3 linked regions of the Rhinolophus ferrumequinum genome follow. The protein of the gene in region 2 purifies or fractionates together with the protein of the main gene of each other region. This does not show direct contact. Links are inferred from orthologs where the notes say so. Each region holds a gene or a part of one and is shown on either strand. Other genes may lie near its edges. The genes, in order: CDK2AP1, ZNF219 and CHD3.

Region 1 (9,707 bases), on a different chromosome or scaffold from region 2:
CCTGCTCTGCGTTCCCCCTTCTCTTTCCATTCTGCTCTGCTCCATGGCAATACTCTGTGAAATGCACATTAAACTAATGGGAATTGTTCTAGATCATTCTAAAACCACTCATTAAAAGGTGCCTGGTTCAGTGAGTTTCATACAGACGTCTTTTAGTGGCGCCACTAATGATGTTTCTTTCCCCTTTTAGGGGTTTTAACGCCTAGACATGGAAGAGGAGAAAAGGAAAATTCCAGATCCTTTTTGAAGCCTGTTGCAGTGGGTTCAGTGGTAGTCCCTCAAAAGCTATGTCCACCTGGAATCTGTAAATGAGACCTTTTTGGAAAAAAGTCTTTGCAGATGGAATTAATTCAGGGATCTCAAGATGAGATCATTTAGAGTCAGGTGGGTCCTAAACCCAATGACAAGTATCCTTAGAAGAGAAAGGGGGAAGACACAGAGAAGAAGGCCAAGCGAAGGCAGGATGGGAGTGGTGCTGCCACAGCCAAGGGACACCTGGAGTCCCCAGAAGCTGGAAGGGGCGAAGGACTCTCCCAGAGCCTTTGGAGGGAGCATGGCCCTGCAGCACCTTGATTTCAGACGTGTGGCCTCCAGAATTGGGAGATGGTAAATTTCTGTTGTTTTAAGCCACCAAGTTGATGGTTAATTTGTTGTGGCAGCCCCAGAAAACTAACACATCTGGTAGAGAAAGTGAGTTGTGAGCAGGTAAAAGAGAGAACCAGAGTCCTTGCAGAAGAAAACTAGTCTCACTTTGTCCCAATTCGAGCAGCACACTGAGGCCATCCCGGAATGTTTTATGTGCCTGACTATAACATTGAAGGATACAGTTCTTCCTTTCAAGAAGTTCAGACTCATGGAGGAGACAGACCAGATGAAGTGCCATAGCAAGCATTCGTGGAGGCATAGCCAGCCAGGGAAGGCTCTTCAGAGGTGGGCTAGTTGAACTGGGCTTTGATGGATGAACAGGAGTTTGCCAAGCACAGCACAAGGGCCAGTTGGTGTAATGAAGCCTGAGATGTGGGAATGAACAAGTACCAGGGTCATACCCCAGTCTGGCCTGAAGAAAAATAACAAATAGTGGGAGGTGACGGGTAAGGTGATGAGTGTGGTGGGGTCAGAGGAGACAGCTAAATGTGGCTGCCATGCCTAGAGTAATAAGCTTCATGACATGATGGGGACTGTCTTTCCTGCTGCCCCCAGAATAGTGTCTGACACTTAGTAGACACTCAACAAATATTTGTTGAATAAAAGCGGGAAGGAGGGGAAACTGACAAAGTATTTGGCAAAACCTAACACTTTCATGATAGAAACACTCAACAAACTAGTAATAGAAGAAACCACTCAACTTGATAAAGGGCATTGATGGAAAGCCCCATCATATTAAATGGTGAAACACTAAAATCTTGCCCCCCAAGATCAAAGACAAGGATGCCTGCCCTCACTACTAGCCACCATTGTCCTTGAGGTTCCAGTCAGGGCAATTAGCCAAGGAAGAGAAATAAAAGACATCCCATTTGGAAAGGAAGAAGTGAAACTCCATTCGCAGATAACATGATCTTATCTACAGAAAACTCTGAAGAATACTCATACACACAAAAAAAATTAGAGCTAATAAGAGAGTTCAAGAAAGTTGGAGGATACAATATTACATACAAAAATCAGGTGTGATTTGTACATGCTGCAATGAACAATCCAAAAATTGCAAAAACAATTCCATTTACAATAGCATCAAAAATAATGAAATACTTAGGAATAAATTTAAAGTACAAGACTTACACACTGAAAACACTGTTGAAGTTAAAGAAATAAGACCTACATAAATGGAAATCCATCCTGCGTTCATGGATTGGAAGACTTCATGTTGCAACTCAGATAGCAGTACTCGCTAAATTAATACACAGATGTAATACAAGTCATATCAAAATTCCAATTGCCTTTTTGTGTGTGTGGCGAAAATGGACAAGCAGATCCTAAAATTCATATGGAAATGCAAGGGACCCAGAAGAGCCAAAACCATCCTGAAAGAGACAAAATTGGAGCTCTCCCACTTCCAAAGTACAAAGCTACAGTCATCAAAGCCGTGTGGAACTGGCACGAGGACAGACATAAATCAATGGAACTGAGTCCAGGAATAAACCCTCAACAAGGGTGTCGAGACCATTCAGTGGAGAAAGAACAGTCTTTTCAACAAATGGTGCCAGAACAACTGGATATGCACCTGCAAAGAATGAATGGGTCCACATCACACCGTACACAAAAATTAACTAACAATGGGTTAAAGACTTAAATGTAAGACCAAAAACTAAAAACTTTTTAAAGAAAACACAGGTGACAAATATTCACGGCCTTGGACTAGATAGCATACCAAAAGCACAAGCAAACCAAAGAAAAAAGAGACCTATTGGACTTCAAGAAATAAAACGTGTGTGTGAAAGACCCTACAGAAAAATAAAGACCACCCAAAGAACGGGAAAAACTATTTGCAAATTATGTATCTGTGAAGGGACTAATATCCTGAATATATAAAGAACCCTTACAATTTAACCTAAAAAGGAAACTCAATTAAAAAATAGGCAAAGGATTGAAATAGATGTTTCTCCAAAGAAGATGTACAAATGACCAGTAAGCACATGAAAAGATGCTCAGCATCACTATTCATTAGGGAAATGGCCAATCAAAACCAGGAAATGCTACTTTACACCCAACTGGGATGCCTAAAATAAAATCAGATACCGTGTTTCCCCCAAAATAAGACCTAGCCGGACAATCAGCTCTAATGCATCTTTTGGAGTGAAAATTAATATAAGACCGGGTATTATATTACATTATGTCATATTAATATTATATATATTATATTACATTACATTATAGACCCGGTCTTATTTTACTATAAAATAAGTAAAACAAGACCGGGTCTTATATTAACTTTTGCTCCAAAAGACGCATTAGAGCTGATTGTCCGGCTAGGTCTTTTTTTCGGGAAAGCAGGGTAACAAGGAGTGTTGGTGAAGACAATGGAGAAATTGGAACCCTCATACACTGCTGGTGGGAATGGAAAGTAGTGCATACACTAAGCAAAGCAGTTTGATAGTTCCTTAAAAAGTGAAACATTAAAAAAAAAAATAGTAACAGGGTTATGGTAATTCCATTCCAGTATATACCCCAAAGAATTGAAAACGTTCATACAAAAACTTGTTCGCAAATGTTCATAGAAGCCATATTTATAACAGCCAAAAAGTGAAAACAACCAAATGTCTGTCAACTGATGAATGAACAAAATGTGGCCTATCCATACAATGGAATATTATTCAGCCATGAATAATAAAGAAATAATATATGGATACATGTTGCAGCATGGACGAACCTTGAAAACATGCTGAATGAAAGAAGATAAAGGTCAGATGATTCCATGCATATGAAATGCCCAGAACAGGTACATCCATAGAGACAAAGTAGAGTAGTGGTTGCCTAAAGCTAGGGGTAGTGGGAAAAGGGTGACTGCAATGGGGTATGGAGTTTCTTTTTGGGGTGACAGAAATATTCTAGAATTAGATAGTGTTGATGGTTGTATAACTGAATGGATTAAAAACCACAAAACTGTATACTTTAAAAAGCTGACTTTTATGCTAAGTGAATTGTATCTCAATTAAAAACAAGGGAAAAATGTTTTCAGGGATAATCAGGACTTAAAAGTGAAGGGTGGTGAAAACACAACAAAACTGAAAAAGAGCCCAGGACATTTGTAGGCGGGACTGGTGCAGGCCACTGAGATCTGGATTCTCACCCCCAGGACATGGAGGTGCAGTGGAACAGCTCATAGGTGGTGGTACCAGGATTAGGGCCTGCCCTGGGAGTCCGCTGCTTGTAGCTGCTTGCCCTGCACCGCCCCATAGGAAAATCGCTACTGTGGCCATCGTGCGCTTGAAAGGTGGCTGGTCTGAATTCAGCGCATCTGAATCCAGATGTGCTGTGAGTGTAAAATACATGTTGGCTTTTGAAGACTTCATGTGATAAAAATAATGTGAAGTATCTTAATTTCTTTATATTCATCACATATTGAAAACAGTGTGGTGGATATATTAAAAAATATGTACCAAAGATTAATGTCACCAGTTTCTCCTTACTTTCTAAAATGTGACTACGGAAAAATTGAAAATCACATCTGTGGCTCGGAATGTATTTCGATCAGACAGTGCTATCCCAGAGTATTGGGCCCCTGGGGGGGGTAGGGGAAGGTGACAATTTATTTATGAAATAAAATTTTATTGAGTGTCCTTGGATGAACTAGCCTAAAGCTGATCACAAGGGGTGCTGGTTAAGCAGGGGAGGGGACGTCACCTGCACCTTCAATCCCAAAGGGAAGGGGCAGGGGCGGTATACCTTCCCTCTAGAGCTGAGAGGAACCTTCCTCACTAGGTGCGTGTGTCTGAATGTTTGGGACCAGTGTAAAAATTTGCAAGCCATTGTGATTAAAACACGATGGCAAAGGGTGGGCATCTTGTGTGTTTTGACGAGCTTTACCATCTAAGCAGAACTCCAAGAAATAGTACCTTCAAAAGCTTAATCATCTAATCCTAAATCCATCTGATGATTACATTTCAGTCAGCTTCGAGCATAGGCTGGGGTGGGGTCGAAGGAGGGCCAAAAATTGTACCTTAAACCCCAGGAGAGTAGAGAAACTTTGCCAAGTTCATTCTTGTACCCTTAGCTCCTAGAACAGTACCCGACACATAGTAGGCGCTTCTTAAATATTTGAATGAGTTACGATGCAAAATTATGTAAATGCAAGGGTGGATTTTCCAGGAGGAGATTCCTCTTTTTTGCCAGTCTCAAAGGATTCACAGGCTCCCAAAGGGTTAAAAACCACTAAATACAGACAAGGATGTGAAATTTATTTGAAATCAATGTTAGAATTGGTTGTTCTTATTCTGGGGAATAACCAGACCTCGGCGTCTGGAAGGATCTACGTGCTTAAAAATACCATTCGCCACCATTTTCTCCAGGTAATTTTCCATCCCTGCCCCCACAGTCAAGGAGGAAAAAAGTAATTGTGAAATCCTACCTAGCTATTAAAAAAAAAAAAAAATAAGCGGTAAAATAGAAAATCTCCAGGCGCCGAGAACGAAAAAGAAGAAAGGGACCCAGGCGGGCCACAGGCGCCGCCGGGACCCCAGCCCCCCAAACTTTGCCAAGTTGCGGGCGCCGAGCGCGCGGGGAGGCGCGGGGCGCGGCCGCGGGCGGAGCCGCCCCCTGACGCCGGGCCGCCCCCTCCCGGCCCGGGCCGGCCCCGCTGGCTCGGCTCAAAGTTTGCGGCCGCCCCTGCGCCCGCCCGATGTATGGGTGATATACTGCGGCGGTGTCAGGGTGAGGGACGGCCATATTTGCCGGTGCGGCCCGAGCCGTCAACAACAAAAAGTGCGCGGGAGCTCGGCGGGCGCACGGACGGGCGCACGGACGCCGGGCCCGCCTCGCCGCCGCCCGGCCTCGCCGCCGCCGCCGTCGCCTCGCGGGCCTGGCCCCGCTGCGCCCCGCGCGCCCCGCCGCTCGGGGGGATGTCTTACAAACCGAACTTGACCGCGCACATGCCCGCCGCCTCCCTCAACGCCGGTGAGTGAGTGCGCCCCGTGGGCCGCGCGCGCCGCGCCCCAAGTGCTGCCAAGTTGGGGGCCCGCACGCCGGGCCCCGGCCACGGCCCCGGGAGCCCCGCGAGGCCAAGGGCGACGGGCACCGGGTCCCGGCCCGGGGCAGCGCGGCGGCCGCCGCCATGATTCCGGCGCTCGCGCTGCCAAAGTTGGCGGGTGCGCCCCGCCCCGCGCCGGGCCTCGGGCCGGGGCTGGGCTGGGGCCCCGGGCGCAGGCGGGCGGCCGCCGCCGTCCCCCCCACGCCGGCGGCCGAGGACTCGCGGGGAGCGCGGCGGGCGAGGGCAGGGGAGGTTTTCCTCGGTTCCTTTTTCCTCCGGCTTTTGGGCGGCTCGGCGAGGGCCCCTGCCGGCGGGAGTCGGGAGCGGCCGGGCCGCGCCGGGAGCGGGGCGCGGGGCTCGGGCGCCGGTGGGGAGCGGGGGCGCAGGCCCGGGCTGCAGGGGCGCACGTGTGCAAAATCAGGCCAGCGTAGGCAGGGCCGGGGGGACGGCGGCGTGCCAGGTGCAGCAGCCCCTGAGGGCTCTGGGCGGCTGCGGCGGGGACGGGGGTCACCCGCGGTGCAGGGGACTCAGTCATCAGTGGGGGTTAAGCCTGGCACGTGGGAGCAGGGGTCCCGAGAATGGGGCACTGGGGAGGTCCCCCTCAGGCGTGCGCGAGTGGAAGAAGTTGGAGAGGACAGGGGGCTTCTGAGTACCTGAGGGCGGTGTGTGTGTGTGTGTGGGGGGGAACCTCTCCGTCGGGGCCCACATGTCGGAGCCCCCAAGTCTGGGCCTAGGAGGCCCCCTCCTGCAGCAGTTGGGAGGGGCCGCTCTCTCCCCTCCCTGGGACTGGAGCCGGGCAGTCCCGGGAAACTCCTCCAGAAGTTGTCAGGCCGCTTTAGGCTGTGCCCAGGGGCTCACCCTAGGGACTGAGTGAGACTGGGTGAGGGGCAGGTAAAATTGTGGGAGGCGGACACCACCGGCTTTGTCCCCTCACCAGGGCCCTTCTCCTTTAGACAGTTGGTTGGAAATACTTCCCCAAAAGCGAGGCACGTTGGTGGTGGGGGAGGGGACAGAAGGGAGGGAAGGGGGGTTTGGCCTTGCAGGTCAGAAATGCCACGCTGGCAGTTGGCCGCAAGTGTTGGGCCTTATCTCCAAACGGTGGCTCCTTAACTCCAGAAATCTGAAGAGGGACCCAAAAAAGCCGTGTGTGTGTGTGTGTGTGTGTGTGTGTGTGTGGTGTCTGTGTGTGTTTAACTTCTTGGACACAGATTTGGGGATTAGAAAGGGTTAAGATTCAGGGTACCAGTGTGGGGGATAGTTGAATTGGTCAAATGTGGGCTCTGATCCCCAAGAGCACACAGCACTGTTTTCTCAAATGTTCTCACCTGCTCTGGGGTCTGCAAACCTTACTGAGACAGGCTTTGTGGTGCAGGTAGCATTTCTCACTGCCTCCCTCATCTGTCATTTCTGGGGCAGGAAAGGTGAGGGTCTTGCACCAGCCTGGACAGGCGGGAACTCTCAGTCCTGACCTAGGAATAGTTGAGGCAGGGGCCCTAACCTGGGACCTTTGGGGACTGGGGTCACGGAGTGACGGGCATCCATTCAGGACCCCTGAAGCCCTGTTCTGGGCTGGCTGGCAGCTCTGCGCAGGTTTTCTTCTTTCTCCTATGGTGAATTCCAGGAGTGCTGAGGTGCCCGGATCGCTGGTGTTTCGGTGGGGGCCGCCCCTTCCCGGTGGACACCTTTAGAAAGCCCCATCTCCCCCTGCCATTTGCATCCAAGATGGACTCTCCGCTGCCGCTCCTCCGGCTTCCTTGCCATCATCCCTCACGCCCTCCAGCCCTGCCTCCTGCGCACGGGTTGCCAAGCCGCGGCCTGGCCGGCGGTGGCGGTGGCGGTGGCGGTGGCGGAGTTAGACAAAGCCCCCGCCTCTCTGACGGAGAGCCCCCCCCCCAAGGCGCCCCAAGTGGCGGGAAGGCCGCCAGCTCCCCAGGCCCAGGCCGCTCTTTGTCTGGTGTGGGGGCGGGGAGCTGTGCCTGGCCCCAGGAGCTGCTGGCCTCTGCCAGTCCCTCCCTCTGCTCGGCCTCCCTGGTCCCCGCACACTGCGTGCATTGTCTGCGATGCTCGGAAACGCGGCGCTCACGCCCAGTCTGGTTTTCTGCCTGGCCTTGCGCAGCACGACCCTCTGGCCCTTCCTGTGTCTGTAGGAAGGAGTGGGCATGAGTATAACTCTGGGCCCCTTGCCAACTCTCCAGGGCCACCTGCCCGCCCCTCAACACAGAGTAAGGGACCGCGTTGCCACAGGATTGGTGTCACCTGCCACATCACCTAGGTTACCCCTGCAACCAAAACTGGGCACTTTCTCGTTCCTCCTCTCTCCTCCTTAGCCTCCAAGCCCAGCACCATGAAAGAACAGGATCTAGAGCAATGTGGGGAACCATTGCCTCTGATGGAGAAACTGAGGCTCAGAGACGGAAGGGGCTGGTCTAAGGTCACACAGCCAGGTATGGCACAGCTGGACTAGCTCCTAGTCTAGACCCTTGCCTGTAAGGGAGAAGACAGGCCAGGGAGGCAGCAACCCAGTGAAACGAGCAAGAGGAGGAGGAAGGCAGGAAAATGCCTGGGAGGTGCCACCCCCATCTCTGCCAGAGAGCTGGTGTCTTCTAGACACCTTGAAGTGTAGTGGGATGATCCATGCTCCCCGCCCCCTGCCCCAGTCTCACAGTTAGTATCCTGGCCTTTCAGAGAGGTGTCACAATTTCTAGTGGTCAGGATTGGAACTCAGGGCTGGGGCTGCAAAACCTGAGACCTCACTCACTGGGAACGGGGGTTTGGATGATGTGAGGGGAGCTGGAGGCACGCACCCTGCCCCAGTTCCTGTACTCTGGCCGCGGCACACCCGTGGCTGCCTTGGATGGAGGTCAAAACGTGGTAGTTACCCCCATCCTGAACAGCACATTTCTGCAGTGCATTATCACTCCCCACTTTAGAGGCTCAGAGTCACCCAGTGATGTGCCCAGTTACCAGCTTGGAGGGATTAGAATCCATGTTTTCTGATTGGGCTTAAACCTGGGCCCTGGTGAGTAAATCTAGGGCAGGCCTGCGACCACGGAAGACATCTTGGATATAGTGTTGGGGTGTTAGCCTCTTCTGTGCTGTGTGGCCTGGGGCAGCACCTACCCTCTCTGGTCTTATTTCTGTCTATAGTGAGGGGCTCCATGGTGCTCTAGGGCCCCTTCCAGCTCCATCAGCCTGAGCTTCTGACCTTCCTTCCTCTCCGCCCCTCCCCTTGCCCACACTAGATGAGCAGCTGGTCCGTTTGGCCAGCCTGGCACCAGCTGTCCCTCCCCGGGGCCAAGTCTGCAGAGCCCGCTGTATGTGTGAGAGAGACCGTTTGGCTCTGCAGGCGGCAGGCGGGGGGAGCTGCTCCTAGACCAGGCGTGGAGGCAGGCGGGCAGCTGCTGAGGAGGGCTAGGTAAATTCTCCATGGTTACCGCTGTTTGTAATTCTGTAGGACATCCTTTACCCGCTAATGGCCACTCGGACGCCATTATGGGTCTGCTTGCTTCCAGCTCCGGAGCTGGATGGAGCTAGAAAATTCCCTGCTGAGGACCTTCCTACCCCCCCATTCAGGAGACTCCATGCTGAGCTGAGCCCTGGCCCCAAGTGGTCCTGCGCTGCTGAGGGACAGTGTCTTCCAGTGTCGTAGTCCATAAGTGGGGCCTTACCCCTCCTTTCTTGCGGTGTGAGCCATCCAGGCATTGACTCTGATTGTCAAGAGTCCTGGGCCCTTTTTGGGCAGAGAGCGACCAGCTCAGAGGTTGAGGGGCTTGTCTGGGAACACACACAGGCCGTGATATCCTCTAGCTCCCTGACTTTGTGTTCAATGCACCAGTTTCCAGCCACGGTTGGGTCTCCAATCTCCAGACCTTCCCTGTGTCTTCCTTATCATGTAGCCCAGCAGAGGTTTGGGCCCACAGGAAATCCTAGCCCCGCTGTGGACCAGCCTCAGTAGCAGGTGGGCTCTTGCGGCAGTGATGTGGCTCTAGGCTATCAACGTTAGGGGAGCGGGACTCAAAGAAAGGCG
Region 2 (9,352 bases):
TATCCAAGGTCACACAGCTAGGAAAAGTGGCAAAGCTGAGATTTTAGTCCTGGTTGGCCTGGTTATAAAGCAACTTGTATCTCTCAAAAATGTTGTTGCAATAGCATCCTTCCCAAAAATGATTATTTGGGGACTATCTCCTATACATGTCTAGGTGCAGGTTACCACCAAGTCAAAAACAATCCCCACTATAAATAGGGTGCCCCATCCACTTCGTCGGAGTCTCATCCAAAGTAAATCCTTCAAGAAAGGGTGGAGAGAGGAGAAACCATTCAGCAAGTGAGAGAGGAAGCGAGGAGAATTGAACCTTGCCTGGTCTTGGGACAAAGCTGCAAGTGGTAATGACAGGGTACCAGTCCAGACAGTAATATGGGATTGCCCTAGGGAACAGCAAGTAATTTGAAGAGGAAACCAAAAAAAGGAGAAATGTTAGATGGAAATGGGGGGAAATTGGGGCCCAGGATGGTAGTGTCCATGGCTGAGTGATCAGAAGAGGAACCCAGGATGGACAGAGATGGGGGCAACGGGAAACAGGAACAGAGCGAGGCAGGGCTGGGCGTCTTATGGAGTGAACTGTCTACCCATGGCCACTCCCCGGATTCTTAGTCCCTCATGGGGACCTTTGCCCCACCACACCCCAGCCCTGACAGCCTGTCTGCTCTGTGCTACTAGGACCTCCAGGCCCAGCTGGGTCCCATAACTTTGGAGTAGCTGCTTCAGACAAGGTAGGTGAGAGAGGCTCTGAGACTCAATTCCCTGGATATTGAAATAGGGTAGAGGGGCAGCTGAAAGAGATGTTTTTGCATGTCCTGTCTCTTGATAGGTGCTATAATGTATTTTCCAGGAAAGCACCAAGCTTTCGTGGTCAAGGGAGCCATGGAGGACAGAGCTGGTCAGCGAGAGCAGGAGAGATCCAGCCTTCGTCTGGAAAAGCTACAGCACTGGGCAAGGCACAGACAGAGTGGGCACCTCTTGGTGCTGGCGGTGAGGCCAGATGCCCCACCCCAAGCTTCAGCATGTCCACTTGTACCCCAGTTCAGTTCCATCCATGTTTTGTGAGCATCTACCATGTACTTGAAACTGCTAGGCTCTGAGTGGGAGGAGGGTGGAGGAAGCATAGGATAAACAAGGCAAGACCCTTAATCTCTAAGTAGCTTCCATCGTGTGGGGAAAACACATAGGTAAGTAACTAAACTATGACATGAGGCAGAAGAAATTAAATTATATCCCCCTCCTTTACTGCCCTTGGTTGACTACTTTCCACCACCATGTATTCCTGCCAATTGCTGATCTCTGCAAGAAGCAGGGGTTTGGAGGCGGGTAGGGAATTCCTGACAGTTTCCCTTCAACCATCCTGCCCCTGGCCTCCAGGTGAGCCAGCTATGGCTGGCAGTGGCTCTAGTGCCTTTTGCTGTCTCAGTTGCCTGCCTGAACTCTGACTGTCACATGGCCACAGCACTACCGCTTGGACCTGGAGCATCGGTAAGATCCACCACAACAGAGGGTAGAAGGTCCTAGAGGCTCTTCATTAATGAGGCCAGAGTTCAACACTTGCCTTTCTCACCATTCAGGGTCTCTTCACTGGGATTGTTACCCTTGAGCTGCGCAGAGCACCCCGCCTCTGGAAGGTGAAAAAGGAAGAGAATGAAATACTATTCTCCCACCCCCCCCAACACACACACACACACACACACACACACACACACACACACACACACCTCTCAGCCCAGGAAGTGGCTCTCTAAGTGTTGATTGATCCTGTCAGCTGTCTGCCCCTGACGCCTAAAAGACTGAGGAGGGAAAGCAAAAGAGTTAAAAGGACGATTGCCCTGTTGGGAGGTGGAGGAAGAAGAGCTGAGGGGGTTTTTTTTCCGGCTAGGTGCAGGTGGGGCTTGGGGTTGCAATGAGTCCCCTAGGCTGGGCAGTGCTGAGCTGGCTCACTGGCAGGTACGGGCCATGATGATATTCAACACCTTCAATCTGATCTTTGGCTTCGTCGTGGTGGTGGTCGAGGTGATGAAGACAGTCTTGGGGCCTGTCCCAACTGCCCCCTCCCAGGTATGGGCAAATAAAGGAGAAGGTGGGAGGATGAGGAGGCAAGAGGAGATGGAGAGGGAAAAGGGCTGAAGAAACAGGTGCTGGGTCCTCTGCAGCACCCTCAGCCCTGTCTACCTGCAGTTGGACAGGTTGCTGGTGCTAGAGATCAGCACTGAAGCCTTCACCCTGGGGGGAGTGTTGCTCTCAGCATACTCCCTGTTCCTGCTGAGCCAGAGGAAGCCAGGATGCTATAGGAGCCAGAGTCTGCACTACCAGGAGCTGCAGGAGGTATTGAAGGCAGGGAGGGAAGTTATGGAGCAGATAGCTAGCAGCTCATTTGGGGCAGGGAGGCAAGGAAGGTATCCTAGACTGAAAATGATTGGTTTTCTGGCTTTGGACAATTATCCCTTAGTGGTGGGTAAGAGGGAATTGGGTAACTAAAGAGTTGGGGCTAGAAATGTGGGAGAACATTAGGAAGCTGTGTAAGTATTGGAAGGGCTATGAGAACACGAGAAAAAAATGAGACAGGAGGAGGAGGAAGTTGCTTCTGTCTGGGATCCCACCTTTCTCACCCCTACAGTTTACTCCCTTCACACCTCTGTCTGGTTTTCAGGGTCTCTCTGAGTTGGAGGAAGTTACTGATTTGGAGAATCGTCCCACAATGGCTAGCACAACAAACGGAACAAATGAGTGAACTGGCAAGGGAAGCAGGCAGGTGCTGCTCTCCTGCCCTGTGGTAGCGTTCTCCAGACCCTCCTGCACCCCACCCCACCAAAGTCAGAAGCTAGATGGAGTCCCTTGAGATCAACATGAAGTCTGGTGGAATGCCTTCAGTTTTCACTCAAACTAGGCCCCTTTCTCTTCTAAGGGAAGCTATACCTAGATCAGCGTCTTCCCTCACCTCACTGCCCTGAAAAGCTGCCTGCCTGCAGGGCATCCTTAAACCAACTTTCATCTATACCCACTTCCTCCCTTCCATCTTTATCCTTCCCCACGGCCTCCCCATACAGCTTAACATCTGCCTCATCTCACTACTTCTCTTCTTTCCACCTTTCACAATCCCACCCACTCCGAGCCAGGGTTCCCCTGCCTGCCCACTCTCTGAAATCAATTATTGGTGCTTTAGTTCCCTTCCCTCGGATCCGTTTCCATTCTAGTTTAGCGGAGACTACAAATCCCAGGATGCCTCGCTACCCCGTGGCCTGCTGGGAAATAAAGAGCCTTTTCTCCGCGGTGGGGGCGCTGTGCATCTGCTGAGTGACGCGAGGTGCTGGAAGTCCGGGCCTAGCTGAGTTTCCTCGGACGCGACCACTGGCCCCACGTTTAGGGAGGAGCCGGGCGGGTTATTCTGCGCGGGGGCGCCGCCGCCCCAACCTCAGCAACTGAGAGCAGACTGTGGCGCCACACTCCTCTCTCTGCCAGCTTCGGAGACAGGCAGGGTCTGGGAGCTGACCCTGGGCAGAGCTGGGATTCCCCAGATACTGTCGCCGCGCCCCCTCCTACAGTGCCCAGGTCCAAAGTCCTGAGACTTGGAGCGCGCGCGAGAAAGGGTTGGAGATGATGAGTCAGAATCCCCGGGCTCTTCTCGTCCCCCTCCCCCGGAGCCTGGGCGCCTGAGGAGGACCTGCTCGCTGGGCAGACGGGTGGACGGGGCAGGAAGAGGGAGGGACGCGGCGACCCAACCTAAGACTTTCCCGCCTCTTGAGAGCACGCGGGTGTAACGAGCCCGCGTGGCCGCCACCCCTTCTTTCCAAAACGGTAGCAGGACTGCGCAGGCTCAGCCTGTCTGCAGCGCCGCCGACCTTTGATCCCGGCTGCGATCCGGTGGCTGAAGCTCTGGTTGCTCACAACCCCCACCGTTTATGACCTTTGCTAGTGTGCAAAGATGACAAGCTCAGGTGGACTTGAGAAAAGCCCAGGAAAACTGGGAGGCCCAATAGTACTAAGCCGGACAACCTACCAGCCGCCAGAGAAACTAGAAATTGACCAGAGCTGGAGTACTAAAAGAACTCACCCCAAATTCACATAGAGCCCAGGATGGGTGTGCGCCTCACACTCATTTTTGTTCCCATTTGAGAAGGCTTCTTTCCCTTAGAGAATGCTGCTTCTCCTGGCTTAGCCAAGCCCAGACACCAGTGAGGAAAGAGCGCAGCCTGGCTGCCTTGCCCTAGCATTGCAGCGGTGCCAGCGGCAACTCCTTTCTGTTTGTGACACCTTGGGAGTGGTAATAGTCGCCCTATGACAAGGTTGTGTGAGTACTAGTGGGTGGGGACAATTCTGGGATTAGGCTCTGGAATGGAGAAAATAAGATATGGGCCTCCCCCTTCTCCCAATCTAACTGTTAGAATAATGGAGAGCTCATGTGTGAAGTACTCAGAAAATAATTTCCATGTCAGAGGTGGTGGTAGATGAGGAAACGGGGGCTAAAAAGTCAACAGTTCACTCTCTCTATCTTCCAGATAGGAGCAACAGCTTTTAGTGATATGATCAGAAGTCTAGGAATTGCATTCTAGTTCTTGGAGAAGTTCAATGACCATGCACATAAACCTGTAGCAGTCAGGTTAGGCTAGGTTATGCTGTGGTAACAATGCCAAAATCTCAATGGTTTAAAACCACAAAGGTTTATCTCACACTAGAGTAATCTGGCAGGGGGCTCTGCTCATTATAAGCTATTCAGGTACCCAAGCATATGGAGCTCCACCATTTTTAGATCCTACCATGAAGCTTAGAGTCACCCCTCTCCCTAAAAACGCGTGAAGAATTGTTCATGGGCTCTTAAAAGATTCTGCCTTTAAGGAACACGTATCACTTCCGCTCAGACTTCATTAGCCAAAACAAGTCATATAGCCACACCCAACTTCAAGACAGAAGGGCAGTTTGTTCATACACCTGGAAGGCTAAGGGAAGTAGACTCATTAAAAGAATAAGAGGTAATCATTTGCAGTGATTCTTGAACAGCTCAGCAGTTGGAACTCATCTGTTCTAGCAGTTATGCCCATATCTACTATGGTTTTTTTTCCATGAACCACTAAATGAAGTTCTTAATAGAAACTTTCCCCCCCAAAAAAATAATAGAATCGAGAGTCAGGAAATCTAGATTCTGGTTTTGTTGTGTAAGTTTGGGCAAGTCAAACCTCTCTGAACTACATTTTGCTTACATGTAGATACCTAGTAATCATAGTGTTTATCCTATCTTATTGGAGTATGAAGGCTAAAATAAAATTATACATGGAAAAATAAAACTATGAAGCACTTCAGAGGCTGAGAATAAATTGCCTTTGGGATGAGGAGTAGTGTAAATGAGTGAAGCAGATAGGGTGTGCAGTAATAGGAAGTGGTGGGAACTGTGGCAAACTAAACACATTCTATTTAAATACTTTACCCCCTGCCCCTCAACTCCATCCAGTTATTGCCGTGTGGAACTGTGGGTCTGGTATTGTCATAGTTCCAATTTTCCTATACAAGTGAGAAATTCTGACTTTTAAATGTGAAATCCGATTTTAACATGTCACTAAGAAATTTTTTTTTTTAATTGAGGACCAGATTCAGCCTATTGCCCTTCAAGTATAGCCCCTCTGTTATACAAACATGGTAGGAATGCAGGTTTTAGATGTGCAATAACAGTTTTCGTTGGCCTTCGAGGCGTCTTCTGAAATTCAAATCTTGGAGAGGTTTAGCATTACGTTTTTAAATTTTTTTTTATTCAGAACTCTCTATGGCGTTGGTTATTAAGGAGGAGTATTTTGCCACCCGGACGTTATTTGGCAACGTCTGGAGACATTTTTGGTAGTTATGACTGGGGGAGGGGCAGATATGTAATGAAAAGAGCATTAGATGAGAAGTCAGAAGATCGGAGATTAACCCCAGTGCTACTAATGCCCCTTTCCTGTGCATTAGCCTCTGCCAGCTGCAAGTGAAGACTGAGGCTTGTCCTGTGATCCTCATTATTCCCCCCTCCACACTGCCTAATGCTAGAGTCCCTGGTTGCAATGCTTTGCTACAGTGCTTCCCAGCAACCAGTGTATCTATCTCTTTGTCAGTTTGGCAGCTTCTGTGGAAGTCACTCACATTTTACTTATATTGCTGCCCATTGGAACTTCACAGAAAGAAGTGACTGTGACCAGGTTTCTGCTGATGCCAGTTTTTAAAGGCCTTGACCCCAATGTTTTAAGCATTGGAGAAATATCTGATTCATATGTGGCTTTGTATGCGGTCGAATTCTCCGGTGGTTGGGAAATTCCCCGTGTGGAATTTTACCCTCATTTCTATGATATTCTGGCCTTGACTTCATGATTATAGATAACTGATGATATTTCCCAAGTAAAATATATGCGTTTGCAGATGGTTCAGGTCTTGTGCCCCGGGCTGTGTCCTCTGCTGCCATCTCGTGGCTTCTCGGCTGCCTGGGTCAAGGTCTCACAAAGAGTCTTCCGCAAGGTAATGGCGTGTGGAGTGGCTTAGTTGGAGAAAGACTCTCTGCACGCCGCGAGGCGCTCCCCAAATCCCTCCCCTGCAATGAGTCCACCAGGGCAGCAGCACACGTGGCCCAAGCGGAATCTGTACGTCGAGAGTAGGCGCCAGGCGCAGGGCCCTTCCGGGTCATCCTCACCCCCTTGGGCCTCTGTGCCTGTTACGTAATCTTGGACACGAGCCACCGAAATCAGTAAACTCATCTACCCAGGAGTAATCAGAGCTGACCTCGCCTGCTTGGCCTGCTGAATGCTCCGTAGCCTCTCACCACTCACCACCTGGGGTTGGGATGTTCTTAATCTCAGTGAGAAGAGACTATCCCATTGCGTTTCTGGATTGCGTTTTCTTGTCTAAACTCATTTTGTATTGTTCCGCGTCCACGCCCTTCATTTTGGCTTGCCTTGCTGATGCTGCCTCAAGCTCGGTATTTGATTGATGGTTTGAACAGAACAGTGGCGGTGTGGTCACTGTGAGACAATGTTTCCTATAAATATGACAGAGTCTGTGCACTGAAGTTATCAGAGGTCCCTCTCCAGGGTACAGGGAATCTGGGAGACTGCCCAGAGCTGGGCTACTGATGACTGAGCAGTCACTGAGCACAGGAGAGAAGCAGGAAAACATTTTTACTTGGCGCTAATTTTATTTATTTTTTCATTATCACAATGTGTTAACTGTCAAATATATGGTGATGGAAGGAGAACTGCCCCTGGGTGGTGAACACACAATGTGACATATAGATGATGTATTACAGAATTGTACACTTGAAGCCTATGTAATTTTACTAACCATTGTCACCCCAATAAATGCTAATTTTTAAAAAATGTGTTAACTTTCCTATTGCTAAAGTAAGTTTGTAGAACTGTCTGTCCCTCCTGTTAGTCCCTCCTGTACACTTTCCATTTGTTGTTTTTTTTTTTTTATGGAGAGCCCTGACTCCACCATTACCCCTAACTCCGGAAGAGGAGGAAGGAGAAGGAAGATGAGGAAGAGGGGAGGAGAGAGAGGAGGAGTGAAAATGCTGCCTTTGGTGTTTTAATCTGCTGTTCCCTGTATAAAACGTCAGGGAGAAGGGCCTCCTTGTATAATTTCCTAGATCCTCAGGTCAGAGATAACCTGCTACTAAGCTGATGTGTGTTGCTTCTCGTTAAAATTCAGATGTCATTTACTTAATGGGAGTTGTCTTCTGTTTCTTTTGTTTTTCGTCTTTGTCTACATTTTTTTCTGCCTTATTTATATTTTATGGTTCATGTTATTCTGGATTCTACTTATCATCTGTATCTTTGGTGTATTTTTCTCATTAGAAACTTTTCCTATGTTCTGTCCAGAGTTATGAGTTGTCTTTGTTGATTCATGTCTATTTTACCTTGCCTTTGTAAAGTTTTCTTGTTTAAAATGTTTTCCCCAAGTCCCAGATCCCAAGATGTAATAATTTGTTTTGCTTCTTTATAATTATGTGTTCCCTTTATGTGTAAAGAAAATACTATGTACTCATTCTTATGCTTTAAGTAAAGCGAGAGGACTCAAGTCATGGCACAGAAGAAACAGGACTCCTGTCTTTATAAATCTCAAAAATAATATGATGAAGAGAAACTGTTCTTTGTGAATCTAATAAGTGAAGCTGGGTTACTTGTTATAGAAAGGCTGATTTTAGAACAAAAAGAGAAGAAACTGAACACCTTTCAAAGATGAGCTACTTTGAAGTTGAACTCTGAACCTCTGGATATGTTAGACATGTTTCTTGCAACATGCTTATCCTGCACTGATAGGTTGTTGAAGCAAGTATTCAAATACCAACTGAATAGTTGGAATAGATGACCTTTAATTTCTATTCCTCTAGTCCCTAGAAAGAATTTATCCACTATGGCACTCCTGACATTTGGGCCAGATAATTCTTTGTCCCATGCGTTGTAGAATGTTTAGCAGCATCCCTGGCTTTGACCCTCTAGATACCAGCAACACAACCTCACCCCATTTGTGACAACCAAAAATCTGCAGACATTGCCAAATGTACCCTGTGAAGCTAGATAGCCCCCTCCTTGAAAACCAATGCCTTCAAGAGATATGATAAGAGGGCCAGTCCGATGTCTCAGGCAGTTAGAACTCCATGCTCCTAACTCTGAAGGCTGCCGGTTTGATTCCCACATGGGCCAGTGGGCTCTCACCCACAAGGTTGCCGGTTCAATTCCTCAAGTCCTGCAAGGGATGGTGGGCAGCGCCCCCTGCAACTAAGATTGAACACAGCACCTTGAGCTGAGCTGCCGCTGAGCTCCCGGATGGCTCAGTTGGTTGGAGCGCATCCTCTCAACCACAAGGTTGCTGGTTCGACTCCCACAAGGGATGGTGGGCTGCGCCCCCTGCAACTAGAAACGGCAACTGGACCTGGAGCTGAGCTGCGCCCTCCACAACTAAGACTGAAAGGACAACAACTGCTGAACAGCACCCTCCACAACTAAGATTGAAATGACAACAATTTGACTTGGAAAAAAAGTCCTGGAAGTACACACTGTTCCCCAATAAAGTCCTGTTCCCCTTCCCCAATTAAAAAAAAAGAGAGAGAGAGATATGATAAGAAAGATTTCAAGAAGTTAATGTCTAACTTCTCTTGTATTTAAAAGGAGGCCTACAGGAAATGTGTTACACATCGCAGACCTGAAATTCTCTCCTCTTGTCTGCCCCCTACTCCCGCTTCTGAACTTTCTGTCTTATATCCTTTGGTCACACAAACTGAATGCTAAACCTCTCTCCCTCATTTGCTATAGCCCAATACTCACCACATTCTATAGATTTTCCTCTTGCTCTTGAATCAGTCCTTTTCTCCTCATCACATCTCACCGACCACAGAAAA
Region 3 (10,058 bases), on a different chromosome or scaffold from region 2:
TGGCAGGTCCTTTCAGTCGCCGCCAGGGCTCCTCCTGCCTTCCCCCTCACTTAGCCAGCTGGCATCCTGCCCAGGAACTGGGGAAGCCATGCCCAGCTGCTGGCCTGGCCTGACCCCAACACTTGGAGTGGGGAGACACAAGCTGGCAGCTCCCTAAGCCAGATGCTGAGAAGGGAGAGCCAAAGGTGGACACCTGGGTTCTCACACTAACACCCTGGGGCCCTGACATCCTTTTTTCGAAGAGGGAGGCCTCTATTTATATTTCCGCAGATAATCACCCAGCCTCCTGTTACCCAGCGCAACCCTGGAGGAAAAGAAATCCTCAGCTGGTCATTTTCACTTCTGGCCCATTGGATCATAGGCCTCGCTCCTTCATCACATGCTAATCCTACAGGAGAAAGTCTCCACAATTACCTAAACATTCTTTCTCCTCATAAGGAGCCTGGAATCTGCCTTCAAACCTATTTCCATATTCTTTCTCCCTTTGAGAATTCAGGGGCCCTACCATTTGTCCCAGGGTCTCACCCTTTGTCTCCAAATCTAGTTCCAGACATCCTGACCCATTCATATATAAACAGTATGGGAAACCCAAACAAAGATATAGGAACAGACACACCTTACCTATGTATTCTCAAATGGACAGGCATACACACAAACTCATGAGCACAAATCGAGGACAGCCTGTACCTGCTTTCAGCAGGGCTATGTCCCTTTCTCCCCAGATATCTCTGTCAGAGAGGTCAGGGCTAGTTCTTCCCTGATGTCCCCCTGATTCAATCTCCATGACCCCTGCCCATCTGTGGAGGCTTAGGAGACAAAGTTACTCCACATAGAGGAAGACACTGATGCCACACAGACATGGAGCCCTAGTTGGCCTCCCTCCCACAGCAAGCACTAGACTAACCAGCCAGACCTGTCTTGCTCAGGCAGAGGAGTCTGTGCAGGAGCGGGAAAAGCCTGGGCTCCGCCCAGCCCCTTGCTCTAGGACACACAATCCTTCCTCCTACAACAGCCAAGGGAAGATTAGCCACAATTAACACCGGAGGCCTGGGTTTCCATTGCCTCAGAATCCCGGCACCTCCTTCCTTCAATGCTACTTCTTAAAACTCCAGCATCCTGTGTCCTCTCCTGCAGGAAGACACTCTAGGATTGGGAGTTTGGGGTGGGGGGGGCGGGCAGGGGGTGCCTGCAGAAAGCCCCCCGTGTGAAAACAGTGAGGATTGCAATAGGAAATAAAAAGTCAGTAAGACACCATGCCCCAGCAAGCCAACTTTCTCTAACCCCAGGGACTTCGGTTAACGTGAACAGGGAAACAGGGCAGTGGCAAGGGCAGGCCAACTGGCTAACGATCAGGGAAACGGCCTCGGTCACCACTAGCTGGGGGTGGGGCACAAGCTCTGGGACCTCGCAGCCAGTTAACTCCACTCCCCACCCCAGCAGGAGGTTTCCGAACTTGGGAAGGCGGTGGTGGGTAGAGGCTAAGGAGAATGGCGAGGAGAGGAAAGGGAGGGCAATAAAGCAAATCCAAGTCCCAACCTCTGTCTCACCAGCCACTCAATGCTGGCCCGGAGCCCAGACTCTCCCACATCCCCGGCTCAGATCTCGGGAAGACCGCGAGGGAGGAGGGTGGGCAAGGAGCGGAGGGCGGAGCCTGGCTGCCAGAGAAAGCAGGAGGAGTCTCGCAGCAAGCCTCGCCTCCCGACCGCCCCTTTTCTTCTAATCTCACCATCAATCTCTCACACATATATTTATTTTTTCTCAAATTCCCCTCCCTCCCCCACAACGAACCACCATAATAGGTCTGCTGCACATGCGTATTACACGTAGGGGGTGGGTTTGTATCTTCAGACCTTTTGCAAAGAAACTACCAGAATTTTCCGCACCACCCACAATCATTCCCCACCCCCACCCCACCCCCAAGGAATCACATCTATATATTATGTTATATTATTTCTCTAGACTTGCCAGAAGGGGGAGGGAGAAGAAATGAGTTTTGGGCTTCCTGCTCCCTTCCCCCATCAACACGAGTGCTATTATTTTAAACGTTTAACAATGTAAGGAGACTGGAGAGGGGGGAAGGGATAAAATTGGTCTTGGGTTAAGAATGTAAAACAAAATGGTGAGAATCAAAGCAGTCAGAATGAAAAACAATAGAAACCTCTAATACACACAAATTCATATTCTAGAGAAGGATGAAAGGGGGCAGCCCGAGAAAATTTCCTTAGAGGAGGGTTATTTTGCCCACACTTAGGGAGACAAATAATGAGCAGACTAAAAATATTTTCCCAAAGTTTTACCTCAGAAAGTCATCTGAGGGGGGGTGTATCTGGGTCACTCATTTGATTTGGAGGGCTGAAAGGGAAATAAAATCGCCCTGGGAGACAGAAAAGGTGGGTTTTCTTTTCAAATAAAGAATTTTTAAAACATTTGACGTTACTTCTCATCTATTCAGAAAGCAAAGAGGGAAAAGGGAGGGAGTGTTGACACAAAGACCCATCTCGACCTCAGATTCTTTCATGCTCCTCTCTCTCATACCCAAATCCCGGATCAAATACATTCCAAGTTCGGAATACAAATAGGTGACAGCGGCCAATACCCTAACATAACCTGACATCCTCTTTCTCTCTTTTTAGCCCTTTGGCTGTTTTCCAAGCAACCCCCCCTCCCCACAATTCTTTATTCCTTTTCCCTCGCGCAAATCAGTGGGCTCTCTGGGATAACTTTCTAAAAACTTTTCCCTTTTTCAGAGAAGCTTGGTGGCGGTGAAGGAGACTTTATCCTGTTTCCATCAGACACGCATCCTCCTGTCCTCTTACGAAAGCACCCTACACTCCCTCAAAGGACGTTTGCCACACAAGCCACAGAGATCAATATGAGTTTTACAAAGAGCATGATGTTAGATGTTTTGAAGTTTGGTGCATTTGTGCTGCATGGCACCCAGAGGCCTGGGGATGTGGATGTCCCCTTTCCTTACCCAAGCAGGAAGTGTGAACACCCTAAAGATGTCACCTATCCTAAAGAAGCCTAGAAATAACTCCACTAGGAGGGTGGTCTGAGTAAGGTCATTGCTGGGCTCCTGGTGCGGCAGCGGTCTGTCCCCTCCACCACCGGAGGAACTGCCCAGAGAGTGCCGGTGACCTGTCATCCCGGGAGGCGGTGGGGGGAGTGGTGCTGAGTGATGGTCAAGCTGCAGAACAGCTGGGTGGGCAGTTCACGCCCCTCAACGTGGTCAGGGTGTGGGTGGTTTCAGCGAGAGTTAGTGACAGTGAATGGCAGCCACGTGAGAGTCACAGCTGGGCAGCTCGGCCACCCCAAACTGACAGGGTCATGGGGGGGGGGAGGCGCACTTGACACAAAAGAGCCCAGAGCAGAGGAAAGATGAATGGGGTGGAGCTGGGTGCATCTGGTTTCCCAGACCCTCGCCTCCCGCTCCCCTGTCCTAAGTGCCTGCTGTCCCTGTTACGAACTGTGGGGAGCAGGGGTAGGAGCAAGTCCGATTCCAGGAAGTGGTCCGCGTGAAGTGTGGCCACCACCTGCCCCTAGTCATCGGCCGCCCACAAACATTCACACAACCCCTCCCCCACGTGCCACCGCACGCCCGAGTTGGCGGGCACCGAAGTCCCCGCAGGTGGGGGGGTCCGATGGACACCGCCCCCCCACCTTCACTACTCCTGAGGGGAGGGGGTTGAGGCCGCGGTCTGCTCCACACGCGGAAACCCCACTTTACCTCAGTCCAACCCCACCCGGACCAGAACCCGAGGGGCGCTCGCGCGGCCGCCCCTCCCCCACGTGCCCCTCCCCCACGCCGCCGTCCGGCCGCCAGGGTCTCCGCGGTCCCTCGCTCGGCCAGGGAGGGGGCCTTGGCTTCGCCTCGACCGTTTCCTGCCTACCCCCTCCCCGCCGAGGGTGAAAAAAATATATATGTATCTCCTCCTCCTCCCCCGAAAGCCGCAACCGAATGGCCCGGTCCGTGCGCGCAGCTCGCGCCCAGCGCTCTCCGGCCCGGGCGGCGGCGGCGGGGGAGGGGTGCGGCGGGGGAGGGGAGGAGGCCTGGCCCCGCGGCCGCCGCGAACGTCGCCCGCCCGGACCGCTCGGACAGCCGCGGGGCGACGGGCCCGAGACGGCGCCCCGCACCCGGGATTCGCCTCGGTTCGGCCGCGCGGTGGGTGCCTCGCCCCCGCCGGGCCTCGCGCGCCTGCAGCTCCCACTCGGGCTGGGGGGAGGGGGGGAGTCGGGGCTGCCGCTTACCTGGCGGAGGGGGCGGCGGCGGCGGCGGCGGGGGCAGAGGCGGCGGCGGCGGCGGCGGCGGCGGGAAGAGGTGGCAGCCGGGGGGGCTGTGGCGGTCGCGGCCCCGGTCGTGGCCCGGCCGGCGCCCGAGTACTCCCTCGTCGTCGTCCTCCTCATAGTCCTCTTCGGCCGCCTCCACCTCCTCCTCCTCCTCGTCGCCCTCTTCTTCCTCCTCTTCTTCCTCCTCCGACACCACCATCTCCTCCTCCTCCTCCTCCTCGTCCCTCAGAGGGGAAGCCATCCTGTGGCTCTGGCCCCCCCACCACCCCCCCACCCACCGCCCGCCCGCCTCCCCCACCGCTACCACCACCACCACCTCCTCCTCCTCCTCCTCCTCCTCCTCCTCCTCCTCCTCCTCGGCGGCGGCGTCCTCCTCCTCCTCCTCACCGCCTCCCCCAGCCCCCCAAACCCCTGGGCCACCCCCCTCCAAAACCCCCACCCTCAGGGCCGCCGTCTGAGAAGGGGGGCCAAACCACCCCAAAAATTTTTCTTGGAAAAAAAATTGAGGACTTTTTTTCCCCCTCTCTTCTTCCTCCCAAGAGAACAAGAAGGGGGGATTTAAAATATATATATATATATGTATATATAAAAGTTTTCGACTACTCTCTACCCCCCTCTCCGTTGCTTTAAATATATTTAAATTCTGAGGGGGGCGCTCAGAAATATTTCTCAGAGCTGAGGCACTAAGATGGCCGCCTTGAAATTATTTTTAAAACAACCCCCCCTCCAGCACGGCCACCCCCTCCATGAAGAAGGGGAGAGGGGGGAAAAATCCCCTTTTAAAACAAAATGGCTGGCTTAATATTTTATTTTTCACCCCCTATACTCCTCCTTGTTACACCCCCATTTCTAAGCCTCTACCCAGAAACCCACAAATTTCCCCCTTTTTTCATAACTGATTAGTGCACAGATTAATAGAGATATTTTCCTTGTGTACTGAGTGTGTGTGCGCGCGCGCGCGCGTGTGCGCGCGCGGGGGGGCATGAAGGATTTCTGCATAAAACAAAAATGGCTGCTGTGACTAACTCCCCCCTTATAAAAAATATTTGAGGGGGGGCATTAATCAGTACTCATGCTCAGTCTGACATCAGCATAAATTGTTAAAGGTTAACTAGTTAGATACTAATCCAACTAGATCTAATTTTTTTTCTTTACTAGTCTCTTCCTCCCCACCTCCCTTCTCTTAAAGAAAAGCTTTTTTTTTTTTTTTTCTGAATACTTCAGAAGGGAGTGGTTTGATGTGAAGGCTTTTTTTCCCCTTCAGGCATTGAAAAGGAAAAAGATGAAATATATGTTTATATATAACTGTTTCTACATACCTCATTGAAGTCAAAACGCGTTTAATTGTGTACGTATCTTTTAAGCGAGAAGTGATACTGGATTTTTTTTCTTTCTTTAAAAAAGTGATAGAAATCCTAGTGACTTTTGGGGGAGAGATATGAATAGATACAATGATTGAGTTTTTTTTTCAAAGGAGTCCATGTTTGATTCTCCCCTTTGCCCAGCCTTTTCAGTGATTTATAATTGTACATTTTATCTTCACCCTTTTCTCATTTACCTCACCCTCCCCTTCCCCAATTGCTTGAATATAAAATTCATCTGACTTGGGAAATTAATTTAGGGGTAAATAGAACAGATTTTTAGAATAAAGGGGAAAGAGTCAAATCGGAAGATTGTGAAATGATTTTCTCTTTTCTCCTATTTCAGTATATTTCCCTTCCTCCATAATCTCCAACACTGATGAAGTGGAAGAAACTGAGATACCGTGAAAGAAAAGTAACCTGGACTGAGAAAGACAGAGGTAGGGGGGTTACACTCACATTTTCATGTGACTCTGAACCATTATTTCCAACTATACCCCAGTGTTTATCTTATAGTGGTACCAGAAATCCGATGGAATATTGTAAAGGAGTCCAAAAGTAGCTTTCTCATCCAGAGACTTGATAAGAGAAGTTGTAAAATAAAATTTGCCAGTTGAACAATGCTAGCAAAGGAAGAAGGGTGAATGGCTCAGTTCTACCCTTTTTCAGTCTTGTCACCCTTTTCTTACTCTAGTTCTTTTGATCTCACTTTCCCCCTTCCCTTGCTTCCCATCCCATGCCTGTGAAGTCATTTCTCTCCTGGGTTATTTCCCTACCTCTTAAGTATAGCTGCCAGCCACCCAGCAACCCCTGCAGTGTTTGGGAGCACCTGAAGAGGGAAGGGTAGGTAGGTAGCAACCAGAAAGTATTAGTACAAGGAATACTATGCAGATTTTTGCTTATGAGGCTAAAACGTTCTTTATTGATGTTCCTCCCGTCCCCCCACCACACACACACACACACACACACACACACACACACACACACACTAATGTACTTTATTGAGCATTGATTTACATCTTTTTCTTAACCTGAACTTTGGAATTTTCTTGCCTCTGTTCCCGTATCATTCCTGTATGAATCTAATTCCTATCTGTCTTCCATTTGATTTTGTTTTATTTATCCTCTTTCTCAGTCTCTCTTCCTAGTCCATCTGGATATCTCTCTTTTCTGTACGGGCTTGTCTGCACGTATGTCTTTATTTTTTACTAAGACCGTCTTTCTTATCCCTTTGACTGTCAGGCTCTAGCACCTCTAAGTGACTATCCATCTCTGTCTTCTTTCTGTTTACTTCTGTCTTCCGGGCTCTGATTGCATGTGCCTCTTCCTCGTGTATGCCTGACTCCCCCTCTTTCTGGCCCTTCTGTGTGTGTCTGGGAAGAGTGTCCCCACGTGTATGTGGGCAACCCTACACATCATGTGTGCCGCAGTCTCTCTACCTCTGTTCCCTCTCCCTCTGTGCTGAGCGCCTCTGCCTGCCTGCCACATGTGCCACGAGCTGCAGGTGTGGGTGACTAAAGGTGACTGTGTGCATCCCTGTACAAACATTTATCATTCTCGAGTGTGTGCTTTGCATATAGATCTCTTAATTTGCCTGATTCTCCCTCTTGTCCATCTCCCCCTCTGCCTACCCGCATCTCCTGTTCTCTCCCTACTAACTTCTTGATTTTTCTTCTACTATCCTTGTTTCTGCCTGTTTTTCTACCTACTTACTTCTATTATGGTGTCTGTCTGCCTGCCTGCCTGCTGGTCTGCTCCTCCCTGACTGGCTGGCAGCCTTTTTCTCTCTGGTTGTCTGTCTGCTTTGCTGGCTGTTTGCCCACCACTCTCTCTCTCTCTCTAGCCATCTGTCTCCCTGCCTGCCTGTCTCTATCACTTTTAGCCTGGGTTTTTCTACCTTCTATGCCCTGCCATGGTTCCCTGTCTTGGCTTATCTTATCCTCCTTCTTGTTCCTCCTCTTATTTATGCTTGTTAAGTTCCTGATTTTTCCTTGCCTCCCATTATGTCTGTCTTCTTGCCTACCTACTCTACTTGCTTGCTGCTATCCCACTGTTTAATGCTTGTATCTTTTAAGTCTGTCTGCTTATCAGCTTTTTTTCCCTTGGCTTTTCTATCCCAACATCCCATCAATGGTGATGGGCTGTATCCCAAACCTCTCAGTGACCCCTTGCTCCAAAGTCTTATCTGCCTTCTTGCCATATCCTCTACCTTGCCTTCTCTCACTGCTTACCGCCATTTCAGTTGTCTCTTTTTCTGTCTTTCTGGTTCCTCAGACAGTCTGCCTGCCTCAGTCTTTTTGCCATTTTCCCAGTTTCTCCTTGTCTTCCTGCCTTTTTGCTGTCTCTACCTGGCTGGCTCTTGCTGTCCACATCTCTGCTTGCTTTCCTTTTTTTTCTTTTTTTCAATCAACTTTTAAATAGATAGTATATACGCATGTACAAAATGTTTAAAGGACTAAAAGTGTCCTGTGAAGACTAAGTCTCCCTTCCTATCCTTCTCTTCAGCACCCAGTTTCTTTCCTCAGAACTGGCCACTACTTCCCATTTCTTGGATATTGTTCCAGAGAAGAGGCACACATATATATCTGCTTGCTTTTTGATGCACCCCTTCCTACTTCTCTCCCAGTTTTGCTGGATGCTGCTGCTTCTGTTAGTCTGTCAGTACTCCTTCCTATTTTGCTGGACTGTCATCTCTTGCCTGTTGTCTACTTTATGGCACTTGTCTTTTTGATTGACTGGTTGCTAGTTGTATGCTTTTACTACTAGTACCTGAGGAGCACTTAGGACAGTCTTGCTCTCTCCTTATCTCCTGTTCTATGCATAATAGGTTATCTTGATGACAGCACACTTCTGCTGGTCTCTTCATCACTGAAGTATGTATGAATTGAGAAAGGACATGAAAGCACTGATAGTACTGAAAAAATACTATACAAATATATGTATAATTTAATAAGTACAGATAGTTTATAAGCTGAGCTTACATGAACACAGTAGGTAACAGGCCTGCTCTGCCTTTCCCACATCTACATAAATTCTTTAAAAGCATATGAATATAGATCCTTTTAAGTTCAGCAGCACTCTTTGGCTGTTGACCTAGGCCTGTCCAAGAAGTTTGTCTTCCTCCTAGCCTTAAAAATCTTTTCTTCTTACTAAAACTTTTCTCCCTTTTCATCCTTCCTATAGCTCTTCTCACATGCCACCTTAGTGATGTTACAACTCATTGCGGGAAAGAAAGACACAGCCTCTATCCAGGTCTCTTCAGAAAGATGATGATAAAAGTTTTACACAACATGCACTGTTCTTTTCATTTCTGCTTTTTTACTGCCTGCATTCCTGAATGTAATGGTTTCAGCCTCTATCTTTGTGTCTCTCTTCTGTCTTTCCCTCGTTTCCCACTCCCACTTCTCTTTTCTTGGTTCTGTCTTTCCTCTTAACTCTGTGTTGGGCTACATTCTAGCTTCTCTTTCTGATTGGCTACCTTCTCTCTCTTCTGTGTGATTGGCCTGTATCCTTGTATCCCTCCATCACCCCATCTGTCTGCTGGATTCTCCCTGTCTGCTTGCAGTAATGTATGTGATAGCACTTTATAAATTATAAAGCACTGGGTAGTATAAAACATTATTATCACTTCGTTTCCTTTCTTTTCTTATTATTTCCTTTATTTCTGTATGCCTTCCTTCTCTTTTTCTCTTCCTATTTGTCTGTCTCTGTCCTTCTTGGTGGTCTTACGTGCTTCTCTGTCAGTCATTCTCCTTTCTTTCCTTGCCAGCCTGTTTGTTTTCTGCCATCCTTCTTTTCTGTCTGCTCAGTTCTTGTGTCTCTCCTTCTGTGTTTCCAGGTTCCTCTACATTTCTTTTATCTGTCTATTCTGTCTGTCCTTAGGCCTTTTATCTTTGCCTGTGTGTCTCAGTGTCTTTAGCTGCTTGTCTTCATGACTGTCATTTTTAATGTGGGCACCATTCTGTGCCTTTTGCTATTTTCCTGTACTTCAAAAAATAAAAATAAAATAATTTAAATACCATATGACTAATTGGTAGAGGAGAATATTTTTTGTTTTTAATGAGAAAACCATTAAGATGAGAACAAAAAAGGCAGGCAGCTGTCAAATGCAAACCCAAAATTAGCTTGTGCCACCCCCACAAAAAAAGAAAAACATTGTAAGGGACTCCCAAGATTTTTTTTTACTTAAAGCAAAAGCAAGAAACTTATCCAAAGCAATAGTTTCTAACGTTTTTTGGATCATAGAAACTTATAAACCCTTCCCCCAGAAAAACAATAAATATATAAAATATGACACATGTTTTCATGAATACCCTGAAGTCTGTGTACCCCAGGGTAAAACCCTGATGGAGGGAACCAATGAGACTGGTTAATAGAGCATAAACATGAACTTACGCAACAAAGCAGATC

What was found.
Region 1: the proteins of ZNF219 (region 2) and CDK2AP1 purify together in Homo sapiens (affinity purification with mass spectrometry; 3 studies listed by BioGRID and IntAct, counting the BioPlex papers as one, with this or other methods). This does not show direct contact. The link is inferred for Rhinolophus ferrumequinum from reciprocal best matches to the Homo sapiens genes ZNF219 and CDK2AP1.
Region 3: the proteins of ZNF219 (region 2) and CHD3 purify together in Homo sapiens (affinity purification with mass spectrometry; 3 studies listed by BioGRID and IntAct, counting the BioPlex papers as one, with this or other methods). This does not show direct contact. The link is inferred for Rhinolophus ferrumequinum from reciprocal best matches to the Homo sapiens genes ZNF219 and CHD3.

The regions. Positions count from the first base shown.
Region 1 is NC_046308.1:4,503,074-4,512,780, forward strand, and holds the start of CDK2AP1 (cyclin-dependent kinase 2-associated protein 1), read left to right. Parts: upstream 1-5,475; 5' UTR 5,476-5,552; coding exon 5,553-5,607; intron 5,608-8,058; exon of another isoform or gene 8,059-8,069; coding exon of another isoform or gene 8,070-8,124; intron 8,125-9,707. UniProt on the Homo sapiens protein: Inhibitor of cyclin-dependent kinase CDK2. Also acts as a component of the histone deacetylase NuRD complex which participates in the remodeling of chromatin.
Region 2 is NC_046289.1:71,988,470-71,997,821, forward strand, and holds the start of ZNF219 (zinc finger protein 219), read right to left. Parts: upstream 4,478-9,352; 5' UTR 4,052-4,477; exon of another isoform or gene 2,732-4,051; coding exon of another isoform or gene 2,651-2,731; intron 2,326-2,650; coding exon of another isoform or gene 2,179-2,325; intron 2,059-2,178; coding exon of another isoform or gene 1,948-2,058; intron 1,629-1,947; coding exon of another isoform or gene 1,572-1,628; intron 1,483-1,571; coding exon of another isoform or gene 1,372-1,482; intron 1,056-1,371; coding exon of another isoform or gene 1,017-1,055; exon of another isoform or gene 985-1,016; coding exon of another isoform or gene 877-984; exon of another isoform or gene 845-876; intron 726-844; exon of another isoform or gene 598-725; intron 1-597. Other genes in the region: TMEM253 (transmembrane protein 253), read left to right, coding at 877-984, 1,372-1,482, 1,572-1,628, 1,948-2,058, 2,179-2,325, 2,651-2,731. UniProt on the Homo sapiens protein: Transcriptional regulator. Recognizes and binds 2 copies of the core DNA sequence motif 5'-GGGGG-3'. Binds to the HMGN1 promoter and may repress HMGN1 expression. Regulates SNCA expression in primary cortical neurons.
Region 3 is NC_046304.1:11,049,346-11,059,403, forward strand, and holds the start of CHD3 (chromodomain-helicase-DNA-binding protein 3), read right to left. Parts: upstream 4,541-10,058; 5' UTR 4,529-4,540; coding exon 4,249-4,528; intron 4,163-4,248; exon of another isoform or gene 4,029-4,162; intron 1-4,028.